4 linked regions of the Drosophila melanogaster genome follow. The protein of the gene in region 1 interacts with the protein of each later gene in a pairwise test. Each region holds a gene or a part of one and is shown in the gene's direction. Other genes may lie near its edges. The genes, in order: e(r), Cpsf5, CG13458 and SkpB.

The links.
Region 2: the proteins of e(r) (region 1) and Cpsf5 interact in a two-hybrid assay, tested with the Drosophila melanogaster proteins (one large-scale study listed by BioGRID).
Region 3: the proteins of e(r) (region 1) and CG13458 interact in a two-hybrid assay, tested with the Drosophila melanogaster proteins (one large-scale study listed by BioGRID).
Region 4: the proteins of e(r) (region 1) and SkpB interact in a two-hybrid assay, tested with the Drosophila melanogaster proteins (one large-scale study listed by BioGRID).

Annotation. Positions count from the first base shown.
Region 1 is NC_004354.4:8,902,325-8,910,456, reverse strand, and holds e(r) (enhancer of rudimentary), read left to right. Parts: upstream 1-4,208; 5' UTR 4,209-4,348; intron 4,349-4,466; exon of another isoform or gene 4,467-4,688; intron 4,689-4,868; exon of another isoform or gene 4,869-4,952; intron 4,953-5,072; 5' UTR 5,073-5,078; coding exon 5,079-5,393; 3' UTR 5,394-6,313; downstream 6,314-8,132. Other genes in the region: Rbm13 (RNA-binding motif protein 13), read right to left, coding at 7,100-7,255, 7,646-8,132.
Region 2 is NT_037436.4:9,405,620-9,414,335, forward strand, and holds Cpsf5 (cleavage and polyadenylation specific factor 5), read left to right. Parts: upstream 1-5,418; 5' UTR 5,419-5,656; coding exon 5,657-5,802; intron 5,803-5,859; coding exon 5,860-6,124; intron 6,125-6,197; coding exon 6,198-6,363; intron 6,364-6,535; coding exon of another isoform or gene 6,536-6,570; exon of another isoform or gene 6,571-7,583; coding exon 7,584-7,698; intron 7,699-7,771; coding exon 7,772-7,793; 3' UTR 7,794-8,216; downstream 8,217-8,716. Other genes in the region: Cpr67B (cuticular protein 67B), read left to right, coding at 1-420; CG4022 (uncharacterized protein), read right to left, coding at 2,594-3,572, 3,644-3,813, 3,901-4,347; Atat (alpha-tubulin acetylase), read right to left, coding at 8,627-8,716.
Region 3 is NT_037436.4:15,109,470-15,118,292, forward strand, and holds CG13458 (uncharacterized protein), read left to right. Parts: upstream 1-4,087; 5' UTR 4,088-4,300; coding exon 4,301-4,814; intron 4,815-4,874; coding exon 4,875-5,032; intron 5,033-5,353; coding exon 5,354-5,498; intron 5,499-5,569; coding exon 5,570-5,977; intron 5,978-6,037; coding exon 6,038-6,314; intron 6,315-6,374; coding exon 6,375-6,481; intron 6,482-6,538; coding exon 6,539-6,834; 3' UTR 6,835-6,904; downstream 6,905-8,823. Other genes in the region: Ctps (CTP synthase), read left to right, coding at 1,347-1,517, 1,618-2,119, 2,184-3,228; CG45071 (uncharacterized protein), read left to right, coding at 1-18, 75-1,060; Cep135 (centrosomal protein 135kDa), read left to right, coding at 7,392-7,490, 7,552-7,626, 8,005-8,131, 8,192-8,344, 8,442-8,823.
Region 4 is NT_033778.4:12,136,360-12,142,992, reverse strand, and holds SkpB (SKP1-related B), read left to right. Parts: upstream 1-2,763; 5' UTR 2,764-3,008; intron 3,009-3,066; 5' UTR 3,067-3,068; coding exon 3,069-3,554; 3' UTR 3,555-3,698; downstream 3,699-6,633. Other genes in the region: Smyd4-4 (SET and MYND domain containing, class 4, member 4), read right to left, coding at 153-486, 599-1,722, 1,779-2,042; CG18343 (uncharacterized protein), read right to left, coding at 3,836-4,135.

The DNA of each region.
Region 1 (8,132 bases):
AAAGAAACCAGAAAACAATTGGCCAAAAAAAAAACCAAGCGGAAGAAACGAGAAAATCAAATTCAATCTCAATGGCAACGAATTTGTGATGCTCTTTAAAATGAATGGTATAAATACATGTGTTCTTTAACGTATATTATTACCTTATTAATAACTAGAATATTAACTCTATTTATCTGTCAGTTAGCAATTTGTAGTTCGCAGAAAAAAAACTCTCAAAAACCTATTGCTAAATGCTCTAAACCTTTAAAAAAAAACCCAACATTTTCGCACTAAAAAAAACTTTAAAACTTTAATGTACACTGATTCCTATCAGTTGAATGCCCGTTTCGTTATAAAGTTTTTTTTTTATGTTGGGCCAAAAGGCAACGACCAAGTCGACGAGTTTTTTTTCGAGGCGGCAAATTCGTAATGCAGAATAAATAACGCATAAATACAAATCCACGATAACAGCCAAATGCGGTAGCACGACAAAATAAAACAATAATCATAGCCCAGTAGAAATGCGAAACAATTACGCCAAATGTGGAGAAACCAAAAAACGAGCAAGAAAAAAAAACAGTCGTAAAACGTAGCAGCAAAAAAAAAACAACAGAACTAGAACTCTGTAGACTAACAGATACTCCTTGTTCTGTTCAACCTGGCTGGTTTGTAAGAATACAAATTTTTTTGGATTTTTTTGTGTAACAAAACTTGCAAAAAGAGCACAAAATTTAAACAAAATTACCAAATTTAAAACCAAATCGTTTGGCATTTAAAAAACAAGTTTAAGTTTCATTTCATTATTTCGAGTGCTCAAAATACTGATTATTTTTTACACAAAAAATAGGGAAAACAATTTTTGGCCAAAATTCATATTTACGATTGGTTTTTTCTGTATAACTTGGCTTAAAATTGGCAGAGAGCCAAAAGAACTACCGTTTTTTACTCCTAATTGACAATACTAACTATCCATATCCGTTTTTTACGGACTTTGTAAAATTAATTTTTGACCAAAATTTCGCATTTTTTGTAAGGGGTAACATCATAAAAAATGAAAAAAATTGAAAAAATTTACATTTCCAACTTTTGAATACAGTTCGATTAAAAATTTAAATACAAACTCAGCGATGTATGGCATTCCATAATCAGACAAATATTTTTCAAGTTGTGGCCAAAAAAATAGATATTTTATGACAAAAAATAGTAAAAACGGGTTTTGTCAAAAATTGAAATATTTTTGATTGGCATTTTAATCATAACTTGGCTAAAAATGATCATAAAGCTGAAAGAATAACTGTTTTGGGCAGCTAATTACCAATGCCAAACAGCCCTATCACTTTTTGACGTATTTGAAAAAATTAATTTTTTAAGAAATTTTCGCATTTTTTGTAAGGGGTAACATCATCAAAATTTGGAAAAAAATTGAAAAAATTAAAATTCCAATTTTTGAACACAGTTTAATTGGAAATTTAATTACGAGCTCAACGAGGTATGACATTCCATATTAAAAGCAATTAAACCAATGGAATTGTACAGATATACAGATTTAAGAATGATTGTTTAAAACATGAGTGCTGTTTAACTGTCATTATAAATATGAAACTATCTGGTTGTTAAAAAATTTATATTTCTCATCCGGGTAGTGGGAAATTAGCGACGCACCTTAAAACAAATAACAATACGCCTACAAAGTCGTTTATAATAGATACACAGCTTTTGCACACTTTTGACGATAAAAACGATGATGTTTCAAACACATCAGGGGCGCCCACGTTCTTATCAGTTGAGAATGTTCTTTACTTATCGGCGCCGTAAAGCAAACACTTTTCAAAAACGAGCGTTAAACAAGACAAATTATTACAGATGCTTAGATGCGATAATTGTAACCTAATTGTGATTAATTGTAACTAAATGATTAAAATTAAAATAAAAATCACAGTTTGAATGCACAAAATTGAAATAAAGTCGATTTCTCCATTTACAAAAACTTGATATCTCCATTTGGAAATTCTAATTGGTTTGCTCTCCTGCCTTTTCTGCTTCCACTCTCTCTCTCACTTCCAATTGGAATTGGGGACTAACGAAATGGAATCAAGTTCAAGGCCACGATCGATTGATTGCCATCTCTGTCGCACTTGTTGGATGTGACTCACCTGCTGATTGGAATGAAGCTGCGCTGCTCCTCCTCTGCCGGCGTTGCCTCCTCATCGACGTTGGCAGAGGCAGCGACCTCTGACGTCACGGGGCGGTAAATCAAAGGCTTCACGTTGCGTTCGAAATCGTCGAGGAAAACGACATCGTGGACGGGAATAATGCGGTGATCGGTGACGTTGAAGTGGAGATCGCGAAAGGGGCCGTTGAAGAGGCAGCGCAACGGTGACGTCACCAGCACAGCATCTTCCGGAGGTAACTGTAAAAAATGTACAATATTTGTTGTATTTTAACGTATATCAAACATTTACTGATATAGTTTTATATTAAATCAAATACACCGCAACAAATCTCGTGCAAACATCAGATAAGATATTGATACGATACGATAATTAGTATAATATTTAAACAATGCGCAGTCAGGAGAAATATAGAATGGCTTATCAATTTTAAAATAAAACTAACGGAAACAGTAATATTGTACATATTTCAGTTTCAACTCAAAGCATAAGTTTCTCTGTAGCCAAGACACCATTTGGTAAGTTAAGAAAACTATTAAGTGGACGTTTTTTTTTTTACCTTGATTTTGCCATTGGTCGCCGAGAACATTGAGATTTCGAGATTTCAGCGATAAGAGATGAGCAACAACACAAATCAAATAGAATGCACAAGAAACACAGATACAACACCCACACATGAATGATCGTGCAACGGTGTGCGCAGAACAGTGAAGAGGAAGCAGAGAGACGAAGCAGAGGCGACAAATTGGACACGCGTGCGTCGCGTTGGTTGGATTTTGTGTTTTCTTATTTGACTATTGCCTTTTCGGTGCTACTTTAACGGGTTTCCCCGTTTCACAGCCTTTATCATCTTATTTTCGCAGGGCTTTTTTGCTTTTCAATTTACTGCCTGGGTTTCATTTAACTTCGCTGCTCTTCTACTTCATTCATTATTTGATTTGTTTACGTTGCTATTTCCCAATTTGTTTGCTTCTTTTCACTTCATTTTCTTTCAATTAGGACGCACACAAACACACAGGAAAAAACAAAAAAAAAAAAAGAGAGACACGAACGCCACTTGCACAATTGAAAATAACAACAAATTAATGGGAACGCGCGAAACACGGGCTGCTGCGGCTGCGCCTTCACTTTTCACTAAAACAAAAAGCACGTAAATAATGTTGAGACGAGATTTTGCTTTTTGTTGTTGATTTCTTTGCCGATCGCTCTGCCGCCGCTCGACTGCGCTGCCCGCGACACCGCGCTCTTCCAATTGGTCCAATTGAGATCAAACAGCTGGTGGGCACTCGGATCTTCGATTGCCGCTGTCTGGCAGCACTGGGAACAGTGAGAACAGTGGCCAGACTGCGGAGCTGGCGATGGGCGATAGTTTTGTTTCATTAAAAGTAACTTTTGACTTTATATTAAATACAATACTAAAAAATGTAAAAATATGCTTTTTAATATGCACTTTAAGTGAAAATGATTGTACATTAAGTTTACTTCATAAAGACTTTAATGACCATAATTTGTTGATGGGCGTTAATTTTATTCTAACTTAAATAAACGTAATACCTAATATTTATATGTAATAACAAAATAAAATGAACCTAAATAAATAATGCAATCCACTTTAATTTGACATTATAATTATAATTTTTTTATAAATATATAAAATAAAAATAATAAATAAATAATTTCCGTAGTTATTGTAATGTATTACTATGATGAGTATATGTTAAAAGCTTTAGTTAATTTTATTTAAAAAATCTGAAGACTAAATATGGAATGAATTACGCCAAATGAAATGAAAATATGCATTGAAAAACATGCTTTATACCTAAAGGCGTAATATACATAAAGTGTGCTTTTCAATAAAAAAGTGAATGAACATAATATGGAATCAAATACATATACAAATTGAAATGCAAGTATACATTGATACAATTAAGTATAAAAAATCACAATTGTCATTTAATTTGGTAAATATTATTAAACAATGTATATCAAATAAAAGATGTTAGTATTAATCGATATCTTTCGATTATTTTGTCACGGCGAGGCACGCAGCGAAGCGCTCATCTCTAGCTTCAGCCTCCTCTTCAAAACCCATAGAACTGGCAAAATAAAAAAAAACGAATCAAGCGCTGATTTTACCGAATCTCTTTACTGAATCAGCATATTATCATAGTCCATATAGTCCGGCGTTCGAACGGGTAAGTTGAACACTAAACGGGAGACATGGGAATTATTTAAAATTCGAGAAAAATCGGTGAAAAGGAAGAAAAACAAGTGATTGCATACAGTTAGTTACACACACGCGGCGGCCGTTACTCCTTGTACATGTGTGTGCGTGTCTGTTCGCGCTTCCGAATGTTTGTGTTTTAGTGAAGCGGCATAAGCGTGCATTATCTTGTACAAATGTACGCATTTCTCCATTGCCAACATTCGCTTCACACACAAATTACTCGTTTTCCATGCTGGAAGTGCCATCTTAGTCTATTTCCCAGTTGCAAATTGGAAAATCAAAGAGCGTTCTGCTGGCCAGCATGTGTGGTGCGCGTGTATTGGTGTTGCGGCGAGAGCGCGAGCGAGATGGGGCGATGCGTTGCATGCGGCAACAGCATATCTCTTCCATCTCTTTCGTTTTTGTTCTTTTCCTTTTTTTTTTGTCTTTTTTTTTTTTGCTGACAGCTCTCTATGCTTCTAATAAATATTTATGCACAATTTTTGCAGAGCTGGCGAAGTAAACTTCAACTTCGAGAGTCTCGGAATCTTTCGGACTTTGCTATAGAAAAAACGCTTGTTAAAAAAAAGGATGTAAGTGATGAAGATGAAACGTAATGTAATGAAACGCACACTAGTAACATACATACATACATATCGCTTGAGTACATAGATCACCGCCAATAACATTAATGTTCCATTTTTGCCTTGCAGATCACCATGTCGCACACCATCCTATTGGTACAGCCGGGTGCTCGTCCGGAGACCCGCACTTACTGTGACTACGAGAGCGTCAACGAGTGCATGGAGGGCGTGTGCAAGATCTACGAGGAGCACCTGAAGCGCCGCAATCCAAACACTCCGACCATTACGTATGACATTAGCCAGCTATTCGATTTCATCGACACAATGGTGGACATTAGCTGCATGGTTTACCAGAAGAGCACCAATACCTATGCGCCCTACAATAAGGATTGGATCAAGGAGAAGATCTATGTGCTGCTCCGTCAGGCGGCATTTAGTTCCAATACCTAAAGGGACGGCGATGCGACAAGATACATACATATAAAACCAAATAACACGATGATGCATGCATCAATGCGTGCAACACTAACGACAACAACACGTTGATGTATGCAACAATGCGTGCAATAGCAACTACAACAACAACAACAATACGAGGATACATGCAACAGCGCTTGGAACAGCATCCGCAACGGCCACAACACCATAACACCAATAACACCAACAAGATGAGGAAGAAGAAGAAGATGATGATGGAGTGGTGGGGCATCGATTCCATTGGAGACTTGCTGCTACCGACTAGATCGCCAAATGACAGCAACTTTTTTTTGCAACATAACGCAATGCAAAAAAGGAAAAGGAACACAAAGAGAACGATAAACTGTATAACTTAGAAATGGAAAACTTACTTTAAACGTACTAATATATATATATATATATAAATATATATATAGGCGTATATATATATATATACTGTATATACACCCAACTGACAACTGTGTGTGTTTTTGTGTGTTTCAATGTTTTTTTGTGCGGCAGCCACAGGTGACGGTTGTTCTTATCGATAGCGAACTGTATGTTTGTTTGTTTGTAAAACCGAATGGCAAATTTGCAAGTGTGCATTTTTTTTTTGTATGTTTTGCCGTGTGTGCTAGCTTAAGTCTTTGCAATCTATCGAATAATAAACTAACACATCAGGACACACTGAGCATATATAAACATATTTGTAAACTACTGATTCCCCCCCCCCCCCTTTATCATTTGAACTTAGTTAAACAACAACTTTTAGCCCGCTGATTTTGCACACCGATGGGCTTTGTGGCGTTTTAACGGCTTGTTTTAAGCAAAACAGAACCTTTGGTCGCAGATGCGAAATGACCTTGAGATGCTGGTTGTTGTGTGTGTGGTGAGGGGGGAGGGGTAGGGGTTTGTGGGTTGTACCCCCGCCAGATATTCAATCGGATAACGAACTTGGACCGCCGCTGAATCGCTTGGCCGCACTGCATTGAACTTGGCGTGCGATATTTAATTAGCTCCGCGACAGCATTTTGTTAAATATATATATATATATATATATATATGTATATATGCACATTTAGTGTCGACTTGTGGATGCTGCTTACTAGCGTTAACTAGCAATAAACATAGTGTTTATAGTTTACCCATTATATTTGCTGAATATTAATGATCACTAGATTTCTCATTATTCAGACAAATATATTTGTTTGTGAAAAAAGCATTTGCTACAGCAAACTGTACAGTTTATTACAAAAATATGTATATATATTTTCAAAAAAAAAAAAAAAAGAATTTCTCCTATTTAAAGTAGTTTGCTTGCCACGCAACTCCGCGCTTTTTACAGGGTATGCAATAGCGCTACAGCTGCGTCGAATATGGTGCATAGTTTTTTTTTTTAGAATATTTTTCAAAACTGGTTTTAAACACTGCATTGTCGCCACACCGCCCCGCACCGCCCACTTTCAATGTCAGTTAGCCAGCCTCGCTTTTTGGCCAGAAAGCAAAGCGAATGGGATGCAGATGAAGTGCATCCTGCATGAGATGCATTTTTCGGTCATATAGTGTTGCACTTGTCTAGTTTTGTTTTTTTTTCTTTCTTTTTTATGTAAAATACTATTCTTAACCGGCTAAACAATAAGCGTTAACAGCTAAGTGGATTGAGCATGGGGGGGGGGGAGAAATATATATTGTGGACCTGGCTAATGGCGCATCTGCCGCTGTGCCTCCTTCTCCACCTCATACTCGTACTCCAGCTGCAGTTTGGGCTTCGAGCGGCTGCGTCGACTGTTGCCCGCCGGCGATTTCTTGTCCTTCTTCGCTTTGCTGGCGGTTTTCTTGGCTGGCACTTTGGTCTCCTGTTAGAATGCAATTGTTCGTTTTAAGTTCGGTTTGGCAATTGGAATTTAGTTTTGTTTCGTTTTAGTTTTCTTTTTTTTGGCAATTTTCTGGAGCTGTTAGTTAGCGCGCACTGAATGGAAACCGACGCAACTGAATGAAAAGCGGCGAACGGCGCTCGGAAAGCTTTATTCTCCAAGCTCCAAGCGGGCAGAACTCGTTTGCTATTTCTAATTATGGTAATTTCGGAAGAAGGTGGCAGGATTTAAGCAATTGCCAACTATTTACATACTCAGAATTTTCAATATTAAAAGAAATTCATTGAAAAAGGATTTGGAAATCGTTAAATGCTCCAGAAAACTGCCAACAAAATAAAAAAGAAAAGCCTGATACATGACCAGAAACACTACCTCAATATCATCTGCATCCGCATCGTCATCCTCGTCGGACTCCTCGAAATCGCTGCCCACCTCGACCTCTTCCCGCTTGCCGGAATCGCTGTCGTAGTCGTCCTCGTCATCATCATCATCATCATCATCATCCTCCTCCTCATCGTCCGTATCTGCCTCGACGAACTCCTCGTCGAGCAGGGATCTCTGTACTTCCTCAGCTTCGCGTGAATCGTCGCCGTCCACCTCCATTTCGCGCTCCAGCTGCTCCTCATTCTCGTCTTCGTCGTCTAGCTCCTCCTCATCATCCTCGTCCACGCGTTCCGCCTCCAGAGCCTTGTTGAAAGCGGTCTGCGAAAAGTTGTAGATGTCGCGATAGGTGCCATTCTTCAGACGATCCATCAGCGCCTTCTCGATGTGATTGTCGATCTTGGCGGCCACCAAGGCCTTCTCCTCGCGCCGCGCCTCCCGCCGTTCGATCTTCGTCGATAGCGGCACAATGAGCTTC
Region 2 (8,716 bases), on another chromosome or scaffold:
TCGTACAAGTATGTCCAACCACATGGCCGTGACTTTGTGGCCAACTATTATGCTGATAAGACCGGTTTCCATGTGGAGGACAATCGTCCGGCACACCTTAAACTGCCGGCCACTAAGACTCCGGCTGTCCTCAAGGCCGAGGAGGAGCACTTCAAGCTGTGGGGTGAGCTGGCCGCCGCCGCTGGCCACAATCCCGATCCTTATGCCGCCGAGTACCAGCAGGAGGGTCGCTACCAGCCCACTGAGCCCGAGTACCAGCCCTACGTGCACGAGGAGCCGCCATATGTGCCCGGACCCGAGGAGACCGGCGAGCCCAAGGGCTTCTTCTACGCCTTCGACTACAATGTCCCCCTGTTGCGCAACAAGGAGGAGCGTGCCGAGCTCGAACGCCTGCGTGCCATCAACAACAAGGATGAGTAAGATTCAGATATTGATCTAGATCCTTATGGATTTGGTGGATCCATCGCATCGCCTTGTATAGGTCGTTCTGTAGAAAGTAGCTAAGACATTTTCACATATTTATTGAAATCCTTCGCAAAATAAATAGCAAACTTTAAATACACTTTTGTCAAATACGATCTTTTATTATTACATACATATACATATAAAAATGTGTGTTTTTCTGTTTTGTTGGCTTTTCATCCGCTAGTGTGTGCTTTTTGTTTGTTGTAGACATTTTTCCGGGCTGCTCCGGAAAACTCTAGATATTTCCAAGGAAACATTATTGCATCTCTCTGAGTTCGTGAGTTTTCCAGATTTCCACCCTTTTGCTGTTACTAGCCACACACGCATTTTTATCATTATAATTTTCTTGTCGTGTCACTCTCTTTTCAAGTAAAATTATTGCTTTTTGCTCTTCGCTTAGAAGACTTGGGTCTTAAACTAATTTAATTTGTAATTGTAGTGTTATGTTTGTTGCTTTTTTGTTGTTGTTGTTGTTGTTGGGTTCGTGCTATAATTTAATACTAATTTTACACGAGCATTTCTCATTTACAACCAGTTAAAAACTAGTATATATACTTTAGGGTTTTCGGTACTCGTTTCAACTCACAATTAAGGAAACTCTGGGCTTAATCTTAATACCAATTGGATGAAATCAATTTTGATTAATTCACATACACGCTTCCTGTATGGCACCTATATAAAAAAATATAATGAACTAAAAACAAAAAGAAAAGTTCTTTTTGTTAGGATTCTCCGCTTACATGCGGTTTTTTCCAGCAAACAAAATTATATTTTATTCGGTATACGTTGTGTGTGTGTTTTCGAGTTCTTCAATTAAATTCTTCGATGTGGAAACAAAATTAGATTTTCGATGGAATCACAATTGAAATTTCGTTTTTTTCTTTTATGGAAATCTGTAGCTAACTTTATATACAAAGTCATTACATGTATATACTTTTCATATGGCAGCTTTGTTCAGTCCGATATTGCAGTTGAAACTATTTGTTTTACCATTTTTCACTGGTGTTTCCCGAATATTTATTCGATTTCTAGTGGTTTTTTACTCTCTATAATATATGATTCGTGAATGGTTTCGTTTGAAGTTGAGGGATTGGGATTGGAATTGGGTTAGCACAAACAATAAACACAGTAAAAGTTAAAAATTCCAACAGTAGTATTACACAATTACAACACAACAAGCACGAACGGAAAATAAATAGAATGAAATGTAGTTTCCCCGTTTCGGTATCCAAAAGGGGAAACTAAAAGTTAAACTTTAAAATATAAATCATAATAGCGACATTGCGGATCTGTATACTGTTTTCGCATTCGGCTATACTAAGGTACATAAGTTAGTCGTGGCACTAAAGAGCCGGCTTTAAAACTCCCTCCGCTGTTTTCACTGCCCCTCAACTTCAAAGCGTGGAGATCAATCGATCCAGGGTTAGGGTTCTTGGATCTGCGAAGTTTCTTAATACTTTTGCACGGATATGGATATGGATATGGATGGATGGATGGATGGATGGATGGATGGATGGATGAATCGATGGGCAAATGCCTGGTGGGTGTATGGTTCACGATGAGATGATGTGACAATTTGGGAATGGAGCTAGTAGTTAGTCTGGTAAGTTCATTTGGCGCATGAGTTTCATTCGACGATTATGTTTTTAAATACATTTATTCTCGTGTTTATCAACTGGTTCTTGCTAGGTTCTTGTCGCTCTCTCGGGCTTGTTGTATATAAGGCAAACTGTATGCGAATCATACATATATTGAACTATGTAAATACGTTTATCATTCTGTCAGTTAAATGCCGGGGAAGATCCTGGGAGAAGCGCTGTCGTCTATAAATGTCTATGAGCTGGAGCATGGCACAACTGTTAGTTCATCTAGTCCTGGTTCTGAGTGGCTATCCAAAAAATTGACCAACGGTGTAAAAACGGGTGTGTGAATGCTTGTATATATATCTGTATATATAAATCTTGTATATGCTACACGACTCTATCCACGACTCTAAGCCCTAAGTGCTGACACAGTGACACTGTTCACTGGTAGAGTGCCGCCTCCTCTGGCTCTCTATCGTCCTAACTTCCCACTTACCTACGAGATTTTATTTATTTTTTTTTTGTGTGTAAATTCAGGATTATCTCTACTTGGCCGCCGCTGCCGCTGCTGTGGCATTGGCCGGCGAAACTTTCAGCTTGATGAACATGCTATTGTCGCCATTGGTGCCGCTGTTCAAGTCCAGCTTCTGCACCTCGCACTCCAGATTGTTGATGCAGTTCTTCTCGTACTGCGTTGTTCCGTTGTCCGAGGCGGCGGCTTTTTCTGTCGGCTGTTCACTGGGCGCCACCTTCTTCTCTTTGCTCTTTTTCAGCGCATTCAGCAGGGTCTTCTCTTTGCTCTTGCCCTCCTTGTGACTATTGTCCTTGTCCTTGTGCTTGTTGTTCTTGAAGCGCGGGAAGATGCAGCCGTTGGGCAGGAAGCCGCCCAGTTTCTCCTTCTTTGCGGGAGCAGCAGGTGGAGGAGTTGCTGTAACGACGGGAGCAACAACGGGAGTTGGAGTTGGACTGGGCGATGATGTGGCTGTGGCTGTTACTGTGGGTGTTGCGTGGCTGGGTGTGGGAGTGCTAGCACCATTTGTGGCTGCCGGTGGTGCAACCTTTACTTCTGGTTCGTTCTCCACTGCCACCGGCTGATTGTCCAGCACAGTTGTTGATCCATTCAGCGAGCTGCCTGCATCCGTTTGATCCACGCAAGCATCCTCCGAAACTGGCGATTGCTCCTGCTGCTCACCCTGCTCGCTGGCCACTTTGTTGTCCAGCTGCTGGGCAAACACGGCCAGGGTGATGCCATTGCCATTGCCATTTCCCTGCTCTACCAGCAGCGGCTCAGACAAGTGAGCCGGCGGCGAGCTGGCCTCGTTCACTGCAGCACCAGCACTAGCTGCCCGCGATGCATCCGGCGATTTGGGAAACATCTGTTGCGTGGTGATGTTCTGGTAGTGCTGCTGCTGGCGCTGCTGCATCATCTGCTCCTCCCTCTCGCGATCGCGCTGCGCCTGAACGGCATTCCAGACATCCTTCAGCTCGCCGGAGATATCGCGATCCTTGAGTATTACGGCGTTTCTGGAGATGTATTACATATATTTTTATTCTTGTTTTTAATCGGGCAGTAAACTAATAGTGTTATTATATACCTGACTAATTTCACGCCTGGATTCATAGCCTCCACAAAGTCGCACATCAGCTCCACCATAGCTCGTCGCTCCTCAGGATCTTTGCTGTGACGTCCGGAGTCTTTGAGCACCTCCGGATTGGCCATTACGGCAAAGACAATGGGAGGACTGCGTGGGCTGCCAGGCGGTACCTTAATGAATAAGAACATTAACATAAATAACTAATAAAGGAAACACCGACGTGAATGTTTGAGGACACTTAATCTAAGGAATCTTACCCGCATGCCTCCGTAAAGGGGAATGGGATCGCTGGGCTCCTGCGGTATCACAATGCGCGTCCAGCTGAGGACATTGATGAAGAGCTCCTCGCCCGCCTCCGTGGTGGTGCGGATGCACATGTGGGGCTGTGGCGGATTCTTGAAGTGGCGATAGGCCCGCGAATGTCGGTAGCTGTGCGGCGGCGGTGAGGAGTTCATCAGACTGAGGCCGAGTCCTGTGATGCCATTGTTGCTATTGCCCTCGAGTTCCTGCTGCTGCTGCGGATCCTGGTGCATCTGAAGCTGGGTTTCCGTATCTAAATTATTGTTGTAGCTATTTGTTGTGGTTGCATTTGCATTGATGGCAGTGTTTGTATTTATCTCCTCGCTTTGTGATTGATTTTGTTGTTGTTGCTGGGATTGTTGCTCCTGGGCTGAAGCCTCCGCCTCGAGTTCGGCCGCAGACATGGTTTTGGATTTTATATAACTATTCGGCAGTCTTTAGTTTAATCAGTTTCAATAAGATATCCTTTTGTTTCTCATTCGTTCACTGGGATACGTTTGAATTCGCCATGCGGCGAGTGTGTCGTGCGGCGAATTCGTTAGCCGTGTTTTTCGTCCTCTTTGTTCTACCACGCACTCACACCAAAACACCAGCTCTCTCGCTCTCGCTTACAGGTCGCCTTCATACAACATTATTATTGCTCCTTGGATCCTGGCTGCGTGCCTAACCTGTGACCTTTGGCGTAATTAATGGACTTGCCTGCATATTAGGGCCTACGGCGTATTATACCCCACACAGTTGACACTAATATCCTCCAGAAATTCAAAGTCTTTTTATCTGGCACGCACACGAATGCAAAACACCCTTCTGCCTTCCTACACACGCACAAGTGGGAGTTGGTTGACTACGGGGGAGGTGGGTGAAGAAGAGAAGAGAAGACAAGGTGAAAACATGAAAATGGAAAAGTTCAAAGCGTTTGCGGTGCCACACTTACACATTTCACTGATTTTCATTTATAATAATCACTTTTCCATTGCACCATGCACACAAAAACACACACAAACAAACGGGCGCAGTTACATACTTATGTATATATGTATATATACACACACGATGCGTTTTCCTGACTCGCACTCACATAATTTCCCATTAGAATGGGCAAACAATGCAGGCAGCGGAACGTGTGTGCTGCGCTGATTTTTATATTTAGCTTTTTAGCAGCTTTTCATGGCAGACGGACACACGGAAAACAGCCGATTTTTCCGACAACCCAACATAAACAAAAAACTAATGGGTCAGTGTGGCCAGATGGGGTTGCTGCGCAATTTCAGAGCGTTGCCATTAGACAAGAAACACCAGGGCTGTCGTTACATATGTAAACAAACAATAATTTAAAACTGCATTTAAAAATAAAACAAAAAATTGAATAAATCTTTAATAAATATTAAGCAAAAGGTCATTACAAGTTTATTTCACACAAAGTACGAAATCGATTAATTCCATAATCTAGTTCAACGAACCAGTTCTGCTCATCATCAATCAATTCACGTGCAGCCCTCGTCCAGCCGGTTAATTTTTTTGCACAAGCGCTGGACAGAAAAGTGTAATTAAGCGGCTTAAAACGGGTTTACATTTATAGTATAACTTGTAAATAAACAGTTAAGGATTATAATATTATTGGAATACAAGTTTCCAACGCACAACCAAAGGATTTGGTAGAAAGTCGGCCAGCTTGTCCCGCAAATTTTCCCACAGGGGTGTGTGTATAACAAAATGGCGTCCTCGCAAGTCTCAAACAAATCGGGCTCCGGTTGGCCGCGCCGCGGAAGCCAAGGCCAAGCGGATGCAGCCAGCAGCAATAACAACGGTACCCAGAAGTACACCAACCAGGCGCTAACCATCAATCGCACCATCAACTTGTGGGTACAACACATTTCATTCATAGACGCACATCATAGATCGATCGATTGTTTCAGATACCCCCTTACGAACTACACATTCGGCACCAAGGAGCCGCTCTTTGAGAAGGATCCGTCGGTGCCATCCCGATTCCAGCGGATGCGCGAGGAATTCGACCGGATCGGAATGCGGCGCTCCGTCGAGGGAGTGCTTCTGGTCCACGAGCACGGACTGCCACATGTCTTGCTCCTGCAGCTGGGCACCACGTTCTTCAAATTGCCCGGTGGCGAGCTAAACGCCGGCGAGGATGAGGTCGAGGGCCTCAAGAGATTGCTATCCGAGGTAAGTCAAACGTGGCGCCATAGTTAAATATTGTTATTTGATCTTAACTATCACTACTTTTATTATTTCGTAGACGCTGGGTCGTCAGGACGGCGTAAAGCAGGAGTGGATTGTTGAGGACACGATTGGGAACTGGTGGCGGCCGAACTTTGAGCCACCGCAATATCCATACATTCCGCCGCACATCACCAAGCCCAAGGAGCACAAGCGGCTTTTCCTCGTCCAGCTACATGAAAAGGGTAAATATCCGCAGGGCGTTTTGTAAGTCCCTACGCGTAGGTATAACGAGCACACCGTGTATCCAGAATATCCATCTCTCCATGTACTTTATATAACCTATAGATTGTTTTTGTTTGCCAAAAACCGAATACGCTAACAAACCTCATGTCATATCTTTTCAATGCTGTTTAGATACGGACGGGAACGCCAGTTACGATGTACCCTGAGCAGTTCCATTAGCGCCGTGTGTGTCGTATCTACCCAACTCTAATCTCAAGAGTGCAATGCCATAGAACAACAAATCGAGCAAACAGAACAGATCAAACAGAAAAGAAACAAACAGATCGCAAAAGCTGGCGCAGGCGACTCCTTAGTTAGTTTTGATTCTAGTCCAATTGTACAACATGTCGAAAATCAAATTCAAATTGTATTTTTGCTCAGGACTGAGTGTTGGCATATTTTGTTATTTCCCGATTTTTATCATTCGAAATTCAAAGATTGTTCTTGTACTTAATTTTGTAAATATGTCGACATACTTGTGAGACTGAGCGCAGCAATGTTATCCTTCTATTTACATATTTTATTTATTTCCTAGCTTCTATTCTTACTTTTGTGAAGTGTCATGTGTCGTTCATCTTAAGGTTGTTGTGTATTTATCGAAAGCAATCCAATCCATCGGGCAGGCAGCAGAAGAGCATTGTAACGTTGCTGGCTGTCGCAGTCATGTGCCCAAATCTCGCGTGTTTTGCAGATTTGCACGCATGCTGGGCAGTCAGGTCGCAAGTCGCTCCTTAAATTAAGCACTCGTTTATGTAAACACAAGCAAATACTGTTTATACCTTTTTTGGCCCTTACGCATTCGCTGTGCGCTGAAATGAACTGATGTTGTCCACCAGCTGAAGCATTTCAGCGCACAATTCGAACCGCACTTATCATGTATAATGTTGCTCTAAATTGAAATTATGTTCATAACTGATATTAGGAGACATCGCTGGGCCAGCAAAGTGCCGGTCATGCTTTGCAAGTCGCAGCGAATCCAATTAATTAGTCTAACGTAACCAACTATGAATGTAAAACGAAACGCATACGACTCTTTATATCATACGGCTGCGAAATGATTCTTAATATGTAAATTGTACAACCGATTGTAATATCCCTAGATGATATATCCTGTGAATTTCAATGTTCGTTGATATCTCTACATACATGAATTCTGTCTCTATCGTTTTCCGTAATCTAGCACTATTTGCTGTACCCAAAAATTATAAGCTTGTTGCTGCGCCATTATTCGAGCTATACGACAACTCGCAAGGATATGGACCCATTATCTCATCTCTGCCGCAGGCCCTCTGCAGGTAAGTTCGTAACGCATATCGAAGTTTATAGATTGCCGCCCCACTTACATATACATACGCTTCCTCACTGCAGATTCAACTTTATCTACATGTAAGGGCAGACGGAGGAGGGGCCCACGTCCAGCAATAGTTAAGCATCAACAGCAGCAGCAGCAGCACCAACGATAGCGCTACCTAACTGATTTCAGCACCACAGATCAGCCCGTAGATTTCCATTTCATGTGTGTGTGTAAACGTACATAATTGTATTGCAGATAAAATGGAAAGCCAGTCTCTTTCACTTGGCAAATAGAGTCGACAAAATTTTGTGCTTTATTTGTATATCTTCATCTTTAATATCTATTTGCATTTTGGGGGTTTTGTTCTATCAACTAAATGTTAGACAATGTTTAAGAAATTTTAAGTATGGTTATGAAGATGCATTCTGGCCAACTGGCGCTATCCCTATAGCATGTACTCGGCATAGATTTGTTCGAAATATTCTCGTTTTCTGTAATTGGAAGATACACACGGGCTGGATAACATTAAGGGCTATTGCAAATTCACAGTACAAAGCGAAATTATTAATAAAGGATCTTTTCAACCAAAGACGAGTATGTGTTGTAAAATTATCTAGCTCAGTACCGGCGGCAATTAATCTACGTATATTTCAATTTGCTATTGTTAACGTTTAATTGTGAGGCTCTAGTTTAGTTTACGGATGCTCTTCGGTGTGCGTGGCTTGTAACAAATGAACAAATCAACAAAAGTCGGAGAAGAAGCTCACAACGAAATCATCGAACTGAAGTACAGGAACCGTTTGGTGTGTTATTTTGATTAGACAATACAATCTTACAGACTAGATTAGATTTTTGTTTAATTATGCTTATGCCACACGTACAAAAGATGTTAGCAAATATTGCGTGCCTTCTGGTTTGTGACTTCGACTTCACCACAACTTATTGTGATAGAACTTTAGATCGTAGTAGCCCTGATCGGTGAGGCCGCCGCCGCCGGAGGACACGGTGGACATGGCATC
Region 3 (8,823 bases), on another chromosome or scaffold:
ATGCATTGTTGTTTTTAAGTGAGTTCGAGTCATGTGATTACTTACTTTTATAAATGGGAATTACTTTTTTTTAGCTGATCACATGCGTCATCGTTTGCCAAAGAACGAACAGGATCAGTCATTTTACTTCAGCCAGCAAAGCGAGGACTGTGAAAAGACAGTGGTGGAGCCGGATTTAACAAACGGTCTAATACGTCGTCTGCAGGACAGCGACGAGGATTACGACGAGGAGGAAATGGAGGCGGACGGAGAGGCTAGCGAAGCCACCATGGAGGAAACGATGCCCACGCCACCGGCTGCGCATCAAATGAATCAAGTTAGCACCACACCACTGGCCACCGGAGCTTTGCGAGCCCAAGAAGAGGCACATCAGCACGCTTTAATTAAGGCAGGATTACTCCGCGCTCAGTTGATGGAGCTGGAAAAGGAGGCGGAGGACTTGAGCAGAAAGCCACCTCCGCCACAGCAAATGACATCTCCAGTGGCACCCTCACTACAAGTGCTAGTGGAACCACCAGCCGCACACTGTTCTCCACCGCCAATGGTGACCACCACATCCGCACAAGTACAACAACCGGGCTCAGCAGCTGTTCTGGCGCCGGCAACGACCACATCCGCGTCATCTGTATCCTCGAATGGAGCGCCAATGGGCGGCAAGAGATCTGTGTCGCCACCGCCTCTATACAACAAAGCACACCATCCGCTGGCCACTCTGGCAGCAGCACATCTTGCGGCCAAAGACCGAAATGAGGATTTCGGACCCACCTCTGCTGTAGGAGGAAACGGAGATCACCTGAGCTTCACTCAACACTCCTACGCCAATGGACTGATACCCGCCCTTAAGCTGAAGCGCCCGCGTCTCTCCGAGGATAGCAATTTTAATGGTTCCTCGACAATGGACACTCCGCTCGTACCAGAGGACGATGACTACCACTACTTGCTCAGCCTACATCCGTACATGAAGCAGCTGACCGCAGCCCAGAAGCTGCGCATACGCACCAAGATACAAAAGCTCATCTTCAAGGAACTCTACAAAGAAGATCTTGAGGAGTCCAAGTAGTGGAACAGCTCAGAATGCCTAGATTAAGCTCAAGACTGTACATACGCCCACTAGCCTAGATCGTAAGCATTATACTTAGTTCGTGTCCATGCCATGCTATTTGATTGATTTCTAGTTGAGCGCCACTCCAAGGAAAGCTGGGAGTGCGCCATTTACGCCTAAGCACAAATACCCTGGAAATAAAAATGTAACATTAAAATGATTTTCAGTTCTTTTCATTTTTACTAAGAAGGGTGGTCCACATTATGCTGAAACCACGAATTAATTGTTATAATTTTTTTCGCAGGCGAGGTTTACGTTTTGGACGATGGCGCCGAGGTGGATCTGGATCTGGGAAACTATGAACGGTTTTTGGATGTTACCCTGCATCGGGACAACAACATAACCACCGGAAAAATTTACAAGTTGGTCATTGAGAAGGAGCGCACTGGCGAGTACTTGGGCAAAACGGTTCAAGGTGAGTGAGCAAACCAGATCATATCCCATTATTATCCTTTATAACTAGAAAACCTTTGAGATTGGGAAGATTGGTTGATTTAACATTCTGTCCCTTGCAGTTGTCCCACACATCACTGATGCCATTCAGGAATGGGTGGAGCGCGTGGCCCAGACACCCGTTCAGGGATCTTCAAAGCCACAGGTGTGCATCGTGGAATTGGGAGGAACGATTGGTGACATCGAAGGCATGCCTTTCGTAGAGGCCTTCCGTCAGTTTCAGTTCCGCGTAAAGAGAGAGAACTTCTGTTTGGCCCATGTGTCGCTGGTTCCGTTGCCAAAGGCTACCGGAGAACCCAAGACCAAGCCCACACAAAGTTCGGTCAGAGAACTGAGAGGATGTGGCCTGAGTCCCGATTTGATTGTCTGCCGATCGGAGAAACCCATTGGACTGGAGGTCAAGGAGAAGATCAGCAACTTTTGTCATGTGGGGCCGGATCAGGTGATATGCATCCACGATTTGAACTCCATTTATCATGTTCCGCTGCTGATGGAGCAGAATGGTGTTATTGAATACCTAAATGAGCGCCTACAGCTTAATATCGACATGAGCAAGAGGACCAAGTAAGTTAAGGTCTATATTTAAACCCTGAAAGTAAGTTAATCACAAATTGTTTGTTATTTTTAGATGCTTGCAGCAATGGCGAGATTTGGCGCGTCGAACGGAGACCGTTCGCCGTGAAGTTTGCATCGCCGTCGTGGGAAAGTACACCAAGTTCACGGATTCGTACGCCTCCGTAGTTAAAGCCCTGCAACATGCCGCCCTGGCAGTGAATCGCAAACTGGAACTGGTCTTTATCGAGTCGTGCCTGCTGGAGGAGGAAACTTTGCATTCTGAGCCGAGCAAGTACCACAAGGAGTGGCAGAAGCTATGCGATAGCCATGGCATCCTAGTCCCCGGTGGATTCGGTTCCCGTGGAATGGAGGGCAAGATTCGTGCATGCCAATGGGCGCGAGAGAATCAAAAGCCATTGCTTGGCATCTGCTTGGGTCTGCAAGCGGCGGTCATTGAATTCGCACGAAATAAACTTGGTCTCAAGGATGCAAACACCACAGAAATCGATCCGAACACAGCTAATGCCTTGGTCATCGATATGCCAGAGCATCACACGGGTCAATTGGGCGGCACTATGCGCTTGGGCAAGCGAATAACTGTTTTCTCTGATGGTCCTAGTGTCATTCGCCAGTTGTATGGCAATCCGAAAAGCGTGCAGGAGCGTCATCGGCATCGTTACGAGGTTAATCCCAAATACGTGCATCTGCTGGAAGAGCAAGGCATGCGATTTGTGGGCACCGACGTCGACAAAACTAGGATGGAAATCATTGAGCTCAGCGGTCATCCCTACTTTGTTGCCACCCAATATCATCCAGAGTACTTGTCGCGGCCTCTGAAGCCGTCGCCTCCTTTCCTCGGCCTGATCCTGGCCTCAGTGGATCGATTGAACCAATATATTCAGCGCGGTTGCCGCCTGTCGCCCCGCCAGCTATCCGACGCATCCTCGGATGAGGAGGACAGTGTTGTGGGCTTGGCCGGAGCAACAAAATCGCTGAGCTCCTTGAAAATTCCCATTACACCCACAAATGGAATATCAAAAAGTTGCAATGGTAGCATAAGCACTTCCGACAGCGAAGGTGCCTGCGGAGGCGTTGATCCTACCAATGGCCATAAGTAAACTAGTGAACGGTATCTTATATCCTAAAGTGTTTAACATCCGATTATCAGACGTACTTTTGTTATCGCAAAACCCCAAAAGTTTGGGATAACTTAAGTATTACTGGGTGGGTATAATACGGTATTTGCGAATTGAAAATTTTGACCTTTTATGAAAGAGGCATTAATAATAAGAAACCCTTTATAATTTCTCCTAAGCTTAAGTAAACTACGATGTTACTTTCCGTACATTTTTAATTTATATGAAAATCTTAATTCATATATATTTTTTGGATGCGAAAAAAAAAATAACTAATGGAACAATTTCAAATGTTTGTGTTTTATTTTGAACTTAGCGGGCAGCAAGAACGGTATTGGAAATAGTGCGTGGAAAGTAAATGTGTGCTATTTCTCTCTTTTCAAATTGGGCGCGAAATTTCGAAATTGGAATTGAAACATGCTAAATAAGCTTATTTGTTTCCGAATTTATGGAAAAATCGCTTTTCAAGATATCCATACCAATTGTTATGATTTTGTTCACACATAAACTATTGGAATACTTTGAAAACAATTGTTGCTTCTATTTTTAACGACAGTTCCATCAATACTTTTTGGCAACTGATACCTTATTAAAAAACTGACTGTTTTTTCTAAATTCTTACAAATATATTAAGGGATTATGTATAATCCCTTTTCTGCCAAGAACTATATTTTTAAAGAGCACCACAGAGTGGACTTCAGTGTAATTTTCTGCTTGTTGACGCAATTAGTTGAGATAGGCAGAGAATTAATCAAACGCTGGTACTCGAGAATAATAATGGACGCTAGCCCATGCGAATTGAGATTCGTATGCGGGATGCGGATTCAGATACCGGCTGGCGTTGTCAGACATCGTCAGGCCCGTGCCCAACAAAAATAGCCAGGGCATACATTTGGGCTTGCGGCCGCGATGAGAAGCGATGGCTAGCGGCCAATTGAATCGAGGCGGACCGCAAGACTCCCAACCAAGAACAATGCGCATTCTTCATTGTTCGTTCAATTGAGCAACGTGCTCTGGCTAATTTTGCACTCGAAATAAGAGAAACGCAGCTAACATGATTCAGTCGGGGGTCCACAAAAAGAAGCCAAGGATTCGGAATCGCCAGCGCAACAAGATCAACCAGGTGCCACAGGATCAAGGGGAATCTCCAGACGCAATTGCGTCTTCACTCAAAAGTAATGGCTCAAAAGCGGCAAATGGTGTAGAAAGTAAACCTCCGGTGGAAAAGCCCTTACTTACAAGTGGAAATTCTCTGCTTGAATCATTATCAAAAATTGGTCAAGTGGAAAATCCGCAAGAGAACGATACAATCCGGCTGATACAGCAACTGTTACGTAGGAAATTATTGGCCAAAAATAGTGCTGTGCCATCCAGCGAAAATAAGCCATCAACTGATCCGGTCAAAATAGTTACCCAACCAAAGGAAATCAAAAGTGAAGAAAAGAAACCAAAGATTTCGAGTACCTCGGTTACTCCAAAACTCAAAACAGAAGCCAAGGCATCTGGAATTTCAAAAGAAGAGGAAATAAATGATCTACTCAAATGCTTGGGCAGCAAACTGCCAAAGGGTAATTAGATAATCATTAGGAAGTATATACAATTCAACATAACTAAAATATGCTTGATAGGATCTGGTGAATCCCCAGCAGCCGCGTTATTCAGCAATCTTGGAAAGCTTTTCAGCCAAGCGCCGCCCAGCGATGTCGAGTCATCCGATGAGGAAGTGGAGGAGTATGTGGAGTACATCTATAAGCCAAGGCAATATTTTATGGCCTCACTGTGCAATGTAGGTAGTATTCATTACAAACTGTGCTTAATTGCTGAAGGGACTATAGTTTAAAACTTCTACATTTGTATACCCTACACTCCTAAAGGAAAAGGGCATAATAGATTCGTTGAAAAGTATGTAACAGGTAAAATGGTTTCTTGCCAGTTTCTATCGATATGCTCATTAATGGTGGCATTCCCGCTAGATGAGTAATGGGTATCTGATAGTCGAGGAAGTTGGCTATAGCGTACTCTCCTATTTCTATATACAAATGTAAAGGGCGCATTAATAAGATTTTTTTACAATTTTATTTTACTAAGCCTTTTATAATACTTGCAGTTCTGCAAGTCGGATCTGTGCGGCCAGAATCGGATACCCTGCTCCCGCTGTGGACTGAGCTACTACTGCAGCAGTGGGCACATGAAAGACGACCAGGAGCACCGCCAGCTGTGCTACGCCCTGCGCCAGACGGTGGACCGCAATGGTGAGTGTCTTTCGGCGATTCACAAATTCATAAATCACACTAATTGCCAATTTTGGATGGGGCGGATGCAGGTCACGAGATGTTCTACAAGTGCGGCGACTTCAGTGACGAACAGTTCCGTTCCTTCCGGATCGTGTGCATTCGCCAGGTGGAGAAGGAGATGAATCGTCAGCTCAGCGCAACGGAGAGAGAGTTGCTCCTATTTCCACTGATCTGCGCCGACTCAAAGTGCCGGGAGCATCGCTTTAAACGTCTATCCATGTGCGGTGGATGTGGCGAGGTGGCTTTCTGCAAGGATAAGCCGGAGCACCGAGGCAAGGAGCACGCCAAGTGGTGTGGAGCCTATCAGATTTTCAAGGCCTTCATCATGTTTCAGGAACAGTTCGGCCGCATGGAGCCATCACTGCCCAGTAAGATTCTTAGAGAGCTGCCCATGGCTTGCTCCAACACCAAGCAGATGATGAAGAAGCTAAGCTTTAGTAAGTAAACACGAAGTATTCAAGGATTTTATTATAATGTATTATTATACTGATTTAAAGATGTTACCAATGAGTGTGAGTACGCAGCACTTACCCAGGTGTCCACTGGCCCATTAACTGCCTGGTTTGCCTTGAAACTTTGCGAGCGCCTCAGAAACTGCGAGGAGATGACTCTTCACTTAATTGGAGCCGAGATCGAATTTGAGGCGGATATGCTGCAGAAATGGGAACTCTTCCTGCTCCACATAACGCCAGCGGTGAAAACTCTGAATGTGGTCTTTGTTGGACCTGAACTTAATCCTAATAATATATCCTTTGAACAGCTAAAGAAAATCAAGTGAGTTACACTTTTAGTTAGTAGTTTAAACATTAGTCTAAAGATTATCAATCTATTTAGATGCTGCCGTTTCTGCAGAAAAGCCCAGAGAACGGTTAACTATCATTTTGAGAATAGTTTATATCACGATTACTGCAGAGAATCGCACTTTCTTCAGCCGAATTTGAGTAAGTTAACACTCATTTAAGCGAAACTAATAATAATTATTATACATAAATTCATAGTTTGCTTCTTTAACTGCGGTCTGTACCGATCAACTGGTTTCGCTCTGGAGGATACTTGGCCAGATACCATTCAAGCTGCACTCAATCTCAACTGCCCCATCGTAGTTACTTCCTATACAAAATACGAGGCCCCTTTGGATATGATTCAATTTATTAACCAATCGAATCGACACTTAAATGTCGTAATGCCGCCAACTGTAAATCCGTTTTCCTCGGAAAAGCCAGAACGTAATTTTATATCAGATAATGAAGCGTCTTTTATGTTTAAGAACTTTTACTGTTTTGTTGTTGATTAATCGCAGTCCACACCTTAGTTTTTTTTTAATAAAAAGACAAATATCGAACAATTCTGATTTGGACAAGGTCAATTATTTAGTAAAGCCTGGTACAATTCTAAAAGTTTAAAAAATTTGTATTATAATTTGGTTTTTTAGACATAGCCATAGACACATGAACAATAATAAAATTATTATATTGAAATATTCGGTAACTTCTTTTCGGTTGCAGTACATACCTGGTAAAATCTATGAATTTTCATAAAAAATATAAAATTTTGTTCAGCTTTTATATTTTATTTTGAATGTAACGTTTTTTCTGGGCAATCGATGTTATTTTTCATACTGATTTCGATACATTTGCGTTCGATAATAAAATACTAAAACAAATTTTCGATTGATTTCCTTGCTGAGGTGTGATGGTCACTTTCGATAACCGATATATTTAAGGAAATATCGGTTGAAGTCCGGTTTTGTTTTGATTTGATTGAATAGCATTGTTTTCATTGCGCATTTTCTGAAATTTAGGGCATTTAGGAGAAAACTTGTGATTTTTTTGCTGTTATTAGTGTTTTCCCATGAATATCAACGATGGTGACTTTAAAGACCTCCGCTGCAAACTGGACATCATGGGTTTCACACAGACGCTGCCCGTTTTGGCCATTCCACTGGTTCAGGTAATATTCATACCCTGTAATATTAATTTTTTGGCATAATCCTGTACCTTTTACATTGCAGGCTGTTTTCGGGGACCTAATCAAGACCACAGAATGTTTGAGGGATACCAAGAAAAAGGTGGCCGAGCTGCTGGAGGTGGGTATACCAGTAGAGAGTACAAGACCTTTGGGTTTTCTCGATTATATATGTGTAACTATAATATTATCACAATTTCTTACTGAAGAGATTCAGGTTGGTGCTGTTAAGATAAAAAAGAATTTGTCAATCTAAATATGATTATAATTGTGAGGATCCCATGAGAAACTTCTTTTCAGTATTCTTATTCTATATACGCCAAATATGCTTCATTTTTAAGGGCAGACTATACAATTCAATTGAATCCCTAAAATTAAGCGTGAAATACTTGCAAGGATATTTACACGTTAGCTTTTTAAGCCCACGTTCTTTCTTATATGTTGTGGTTTTTCAATTGGTTGCTAAGCAATCCTTCTGTTGTGGCTTTCCTTTCGGCAGGAAAAGACCTGTTGGGAGCTGGGCGTCGAACCCTACAAGTGTGACAACTCTCGCCTGCTGGCCGAGTGCAATGAACTGCATCTCCAGTTTTTGAGGGACAGGGAGGACTACGAGCTGCGCCTGTGTGGTATGTTGTAATCGATTTTAATTTGATTTTTAACTCTATTGCTGCCTTAAACTTTTTCAGAGTCCGAGCGAAAGATCCGAAATCTGGAGTTGGACAAGCAGCATTTGCAGAGTCACAACGATGGACTTCAAAGGCAACTGGACGCTTTGCTTACCAAGCAAATGGTTTCATCAGTCACGAACAAAAAGGCGACAGCTGGCATTGGACGTCAGAGTAGGTCTAAGAAAGATATTTAACTAGAATTGGATCTCCCTGAGATACTATCTCTATCTGATTCACGTTGGTTTTATTAAAATGTTCTGCTTTCCAGCCAAAAAACCCTTTATAACCACAGTGCGTTCGGGCATTGCGATGCCAACTACACTGGGCACTAGCAGCAGTGCTCTTAAATGCACAAAATGCAATGCTGGGGTATTCCAGAAGACCACCACAACGACCAAAGACGGTGTGACAGTGACGCAAACCAGTGGACAGGAGGAGTTAGACAAGATGCAGAATGATCTTACGGCAGCCGGAGAACAACTGGAGTTCTTCAAGCGCAAAGTGGAGGCCAGAAATCGGGAGATTCGCCGCTTAAACGACATGCTAGCAGGAGGGCGTCCTTTAGCGGCTTTGGCCAAGGATTGCTGTTACAAGGACGTGGGCGCCCTCTCCCAGGACATCGATCTGTTGCAACGCGAGAAGAGCGATTT
Region 4 (6,633 bases), on another chromosome or scaffold:
TGCGCTACAGACTTATGGCAACAACATGTATGTATAATCAATTACTCTCCTTGATTTGTGTCTCGCTTGTAATACGCTGTCTCCAGTTAAAGTTAGCAAAGGAAAAGTTCGTCCGTGTTGGTTGTGTGGGTTGGTTCAGCGGCAGGATCCGATTACATCTTCGCCTTGAGCGGCACTGCGTCCGCCATGATATGCAGGGCCATCTTTAGGCACTCCTCCGCGGAGCTAATCTGCTCGCACGGATAGTCGTCACCGTATTGCGTGAGGAAGTCGCAGTACTTTCGATAGTTGCTCACCGCGAAATCATAGTTGTAGGAGCTCAGTGCCAATTCCGTGTCATCGGTAACCGATGGCACCGTCGCCTTGTGCGGCATCATTCCGAACATAGGATAGTTCAGCTCGCAGCCCTCGCATTTGCAGTCGAAGCGGTACTGCAGGGACAGCCTTTTCAAACGCTGCTCCTTGCTGCAGATGGCGAAGTGAGCACTAAAAAGTTGGATATCTATTAGTTTTAGTATTTGAAGAGAGCTGCAGTGACTTGGACCCCTATTAGCTTGAACTAAAGTGGTGTGGTCAGAATGCTTTGGTTACTACTTACCCGTAATTGTCGTAGAGCACATTTCCCGCCTTAATAGGCCGCAGGACGAACATGTACGCCTTGGTGCCCTCGTATATCCTTACAGTATTCGGCGCACAAGAGTGATTTATGAGCGAGAGGAAGGCGTACGCCCCAGACGAGTGCGTCTGGTCGTCCTTGGTCTCGTTAACCTGCTCGACCAGGTCGATGCCGTGCATATTCGAGGGAGATGTCTGCAGATGTCGGAACAGGAGGTCCGTGAAGAAGTTCACGCCTTCTTCGCCGCCCAAATATTCCTTGACGGGTGTGTATTCGATTATGAAGTGCTTGAGCACAGCACAGACCACGGAGCGCTGGAAGAGATCGGAGACGGAGCGCAGGTGCTGGTTTGTCACCAGTCCATGGATGGCCCGGTAGTGCTCCTCCGGCGTCAGCTCGTTGTAGTTGAGGTCAAAGGCGCACTTGTCCTGGTTCTGCTCCTGCTCACAGAAGTCAATTAGCTCCTCGATGCTGGGAAAGATATTCAGCGCGACCAGTGTGGTGCGCAGTGCGATACAGTGGATCTTGTTGAACATGCGGTTCAGAAAGTCAATGATGGGGCACTCGTAGCGGTGATAGGTTTGCATGGCAATCGACTTGCACTCCTCGGAGCAGAACATCGTGGAACAGCAGCTGTCGCAGGGTATGAGGGTCAGATAGTTCTCCCGCTTGCAGGTGGCACACCGAATGTATCGCATCGGCGTCAGCAGTGTGGAGCAGAAGGGCTCCTCCACGGACACAAGATCCCCAACGGCCAAATCCCGATTGGTCACCACAAAGCGACCCTCGGCGGCGGTTTCGCGCAACTCCAAACAGTCGGCGATGAAGGGCACCTGGGCATGCGGTTCGAAACTGAGCTTGAACTCATAGGGCACCACATCCGGCGGTTGCTGATCGAGTAGCTGTTGGCAGTCCCTTTCTCGCTTGTCTAGTTTGTGGCTCAGTCTCGCCGGATAGTTGGCCTGCCTTGCCAGCTTGATATTGTCCAGGCATTGCCGATAGCGCTTCCACTCGAATAGTACCGCCGACCGATTAGCATAGCCGATGGACAGGTGCTCCGAATTCGGTTCGGCATAACAGATGCTTTTGTTGTACAGCTCTAGAGCCTGAAACGAGTCGCAGGGATTAGCTTAAGTTTGCCGATTGAGGGGGCAATGATTACCTGGAAGTAATTCCTGTTCTTGAGCGAAAACTGCTCGTTGCCCAGCATACGGAACTCCACGCTCCGCTTGTTGCACTTGTCCTCTCGAAGCGTTACATTCAGGAATATCTTTTCAATGTACTTGAAGTCAATAAGAGCGCGCATCACGAAGTCAACCTTGCGATGGTTCTCCTTCAGCTCGTTGAACTTGCCGGATATGATGCCGATTAGTTTCCAGTCCTGCAGCTTCTTTATCAGATCATCGCTCACGTCGTACACGTCCATCTCTTGTGCGGGGTAGTTTCGGAAGTCCTTAGTGTCCTGGAATTTTCTCCGGATCGGATTAGATCTGATCGGATGGCTTCGGATCCTTTGGTTCGGTCCGCGTGTCGACGCCGCCGCCTGTTTTTTTCAGCCGGAAAAAATGTTCTTTTGGCCCACTGCCGGTGCCGCGATTTCTTTAACTGGCGCAAGTGCTGACCGCTAATTAGCGATTTCACGGGCGATTACTATTCGGAAATATTCTAATTATGCACACGGCGATTTTAATGTTATTTTTTTGACGATTCCGCTGGAAGCAGTGTGGAGTATAGCCTGCGAATATATAACCCAGCACAGAGGGAAATGTACTAAAAAATGCCGCAAGTTGACTGCTTGCACTAGCCGCGACACAAACCCTTGGCCTAGCTTAAAATTGTTTACAAAAATATTTGAAATTTGAAATTCATTAAATAAAAACAGGATAAAAACTAACTATAAAGGCAGAATTTTGTAGGTTTCTGTTTAAATAATACAACGCCCAGCACGCTTGAATTGTGCCAAAATATATATGTTTAAAAAAAATATATATATATACATTATAAAAAAATATAACTGAGCTTTTGTTTACCGCTAGCTGTCACAGTGTCTCCACACCATTAACTGTAATAGGCGCCATCTTTTAAAGCCATTCCGAGTATGTGCACACTGGCGGCCGTTTCACTAACAAATTTCCTCTTCAAATCGTACGACGTTCTAGTTTTCTAAGAATCCGGGGAATTATTGGCAGCCAAGTTCTTTATTTAACAAACGCTCTGTTCTCAGGCGGCCGCCGCACCAGTCCGGTTCAAGTTGAAGGCAAGGGAATATTATTTTTAGCCAGTAGGCCACAGCTAAGTGACATCGTGTTGTGTCTAAAAATTTTGTTTGGCTGCGTCTGCAAATAAATCAAACCGATTTCGTATCAAATCTTGGGATCCAAATCAGCAGGAGGTGTGTACGAATAAAATTGAAAATATAGATATAAGCAAAAATAAAAATTTTTACGCAGAGATGCCCATCATTCGGCTGGAGTCTGCGGACAAGGAGATCTTTGACACGGATCAGGAGATCGCCAAGTGCTCGGAAACGATTCGCATTGCAATAGAGGATTTGGGCGATGAGAGCGACAACAGTGTGCTGCCGTTGCCGAATGTCAACTCGCTGATCCTGAAGAAAGTGCTCCACTGGGCCACCTATCACAAGGACGATCCTGTGGTTACCGAAGAGGTTGAGAACAAGGAGAAGCGCACTGATGACATCTCATCCTGGGACGCTGACTTTCTCAAAGTCGACCAGGGCACGCTGTTCGAACTGATCCTCGCGGCAAACTACCTGAATATCCAGGGTCTGCTCGACGTCACCTGCAAGACGGTGGCCAATATGATCAAGGGCAAGTCGCCGCAGGCTATTCGCGACACCTTCGCCATCCAGAATGACTTTCTGCCACAGGAGGAGGAACAGGTGCGCAAGGAGAACGAGTGGTGTGAGGATAAATGAATACCATCAACTTACCATGACGAAATTAAAGCTTAAATTTTTTGTTTAATCAACATTTCAATTGAGATAGTTAGCTGATCATGTTAAGAGTCAGCAATTGTTCTGTTGGGTTAATTAAATAAAATATTATGCTTTAATGTTGGCAAGTGCTCTTTAACAAAGGAATTAATGACAAACCGTTTAATGTAATTTACAGTGTTCTTCAATTTGGAATTTATATTTGATTTAGTTAATGTAGTTTAAAGGCCGTGGTCCCGATGGCATTCGCCAGATTGGTCACTTCACCCGGAATAGCTAACAGATGTGATGTCGACGGAGCCCAAAGCTAGCAGCAATCGGATGACGAAGAGGGCGATAACCACTTTGAGGACGATTCGCACGCAGGACAGCAACAGTCGGAAGCCGAAAAGTATTGCGTAGCACGTAGCCCCCAGGAACACCACGTATGTGATCAGATCGCCCAGAACAGAGTACATGGACGCGTTCCTGTAGACACATTCAAGGAACTGCGTGCCGCATTGTTCGCCATGTCCCCAGCCGTATTGCTCCCGTCCGTTGCCAATACTGCAGCTTTTCTCCATGTTTAGACTGACGTATATGCTGGATAAGCCGACAAATGGGACATTTCCTTTGTCCAGTGTGCAAAGCAAATCTTCCAGTTGGAAAAAATCAGCTGTCTAGTGTGACCGCATTTCGATCGTAGTGGCAGCACTGCATTTTTTCAAAACATCGAGGTATGAGAAATGGATAGAATTTTTATAAACGTTACTCGTAGAGTAAAAGGTATACTAGATTCGTTGAAAATTATGTATCAGGCAGAAGGAAGCGTTTCCGACCATAAAAAGTATATATATTCTTGATCAGGATCAATAGCCGAGTACGCCTGTCTGTCCGTCCGTATAAATGTCGGGATCTCAGAAACAATAGATCCTAGAGAGTTGAGATTAAGATTGAGATTAAAACGGAGTAAATCGAAACGGAGTAAAGTCCTGACTCAAATATCTCTAACTTCTAGCGGCTCTAAATTGGGTCTTGACTAACTGTCGATAGCCCCAAACAGGTCCGCGACAAAGATGAAGTCTAAAGCCTTTATAAGTAAGAGGTATGTGATAGTCTACGGTTTTTAATGTTCGGCGATTGTGTAGTACATCACAAAAAAATTAATTATAGCTACGAAAACATAAAAAATACATAATTGGTTTTATTAAATATGCAAAACTTTTTGTTTACAACCTATAAGTGTTTAATGCTTGGCATCGGCAGGAAGTCCAAAATATTCTAAAAATAGCTTGTACCTTTCAATTTTTAAATAAGTTCTAAAATAAACCGCACTTTATCAATAAATGCTGTTTCACTTATCACAACCAGAACCAAGAGCGTTTGATTAAATTTATGAAAAGTTTTTAAATTAGCAGCATTAGCAACCGCACAGCTAATTATTGCAATTAATGTCACTAATAAAATACAGCTTAAACAATAATGTATGAAGTATAGGTGTTTTTTCAAATTGTGGTTTGTTCTCTGGATAACGTGCATTTAAATTGGAGTACTAAGACAAACTGCTATGCCGCACTGATGGTTCCATTCTCGAGTTATCAAAGTGGCCAAACCCATTTTTTTTTTCAAACTACAGTGTCTTAAAGCTAACCTGGCCATAATTGTAATGGCGACCTTTAAACTTCAACGCTGTGCATTGAACTGGCTGAAAATTTGTTAAATCCCAGGGATTCCCCAGGGAATGGCTGCCGTGCAAAACGATACCTGAAACTGATGCTTCAAAAATGAAAAAGAATACAATCACGACAGGCGAACGAGCAATTTTATTTTTCTTAGAGCTCATTCGGTTCAACGTACTGCGTCTACTATTCGCCGGCAAAATTAAAATTAAATAGCAGTCAAGTCGCCCACCCAGCTTACAAATGTGAATAAATGGCGCAAAGTAGGGTCTTTTATGTATATTTGTACTTATTACTTACAGACAGTGGGTGTGAAACCATGAGAGCAGCTAGACCTAAAATGCTTTAGATCATAGCGATTTTACCAAAAATTCAGTTTCCCTATTCTTTCTGTCAACCTGTTATTAGCCATGCTCTTTGCCACGCAGCTTTTCCGCCGCAAACTATATGAAAAAGTGGACACTGGACAAAGGACGTAGGCGGAAAGTGCAAACAGATGTCCAACTGGGCTGCAACTGCACTCTGGACTAGAAACGAAACTTCAGGGAACTGAACTCGACTTGATGCAACTGACAGCCTGACTTTGACACAAAGCCCAGGAGGACGGGCTCTAGGGCTATAAATAAGGCACGACCCCACGACCATGTGACCATGTGGTGACAGTGATGCCAACGCACTATATAATTCATTGGGTTGCACAGTTCCAAGTTGAAAAGACAGCTAATAAGTTAATTAACAGCACTGGATGATAGAGGTCACCCTGTAGTAAAGTATGCAAGATAAACCGTTTGTTTTGATCTTGAATTTTGGAAAGATCAAGAAGCTTACACACTGTGCGCAAGCTTAAGATCTTTTAAAAATGTGTTGAAAAGCAGACTGGGCCAATTGGCTTTGCTTAAAATCGCACGTCTTAAGAAGAACTTCATTTATAGTTTCTTTGTTTGGAAAGAACTGTAAATTTTTGTGCCATTTTGGAAACAGTGATAACCACCATCTGTAGAGCATCCAAGTGGCCATCTCCGTTTGCTGGCCCAAGCCAGTTGGTCTGATTCTGTGTGTCCGAGGGTGTTGTAAGTGCAACAACTGTGTCACGCCTTGTTTCTGTGGACGACAAAGTGTAGAATAGTGTGCATGAAATACAAAATATTTCATTCCGACTGTGACGGGAAGGGATGGCCACAATCTGCTAGAGCCAGCTTGTTATTATTTCTGGCTTTTGTTGCTGGCTTCATAAAAGTGTTGTCTTCTGTTGTCCACGTGTGTTTGCCTCTTTGCCTCTTTGTCTGTCTGTCTGTCTGTTTGTTTGTTTGCTTGTTTGTTTCGCCGGCACTTCCTGTTGCTCGTTCGACTTCTGGCTGAGCGTTTCCGGTTCCTTTCATTTGCTATTCCACCCATGAACGAAC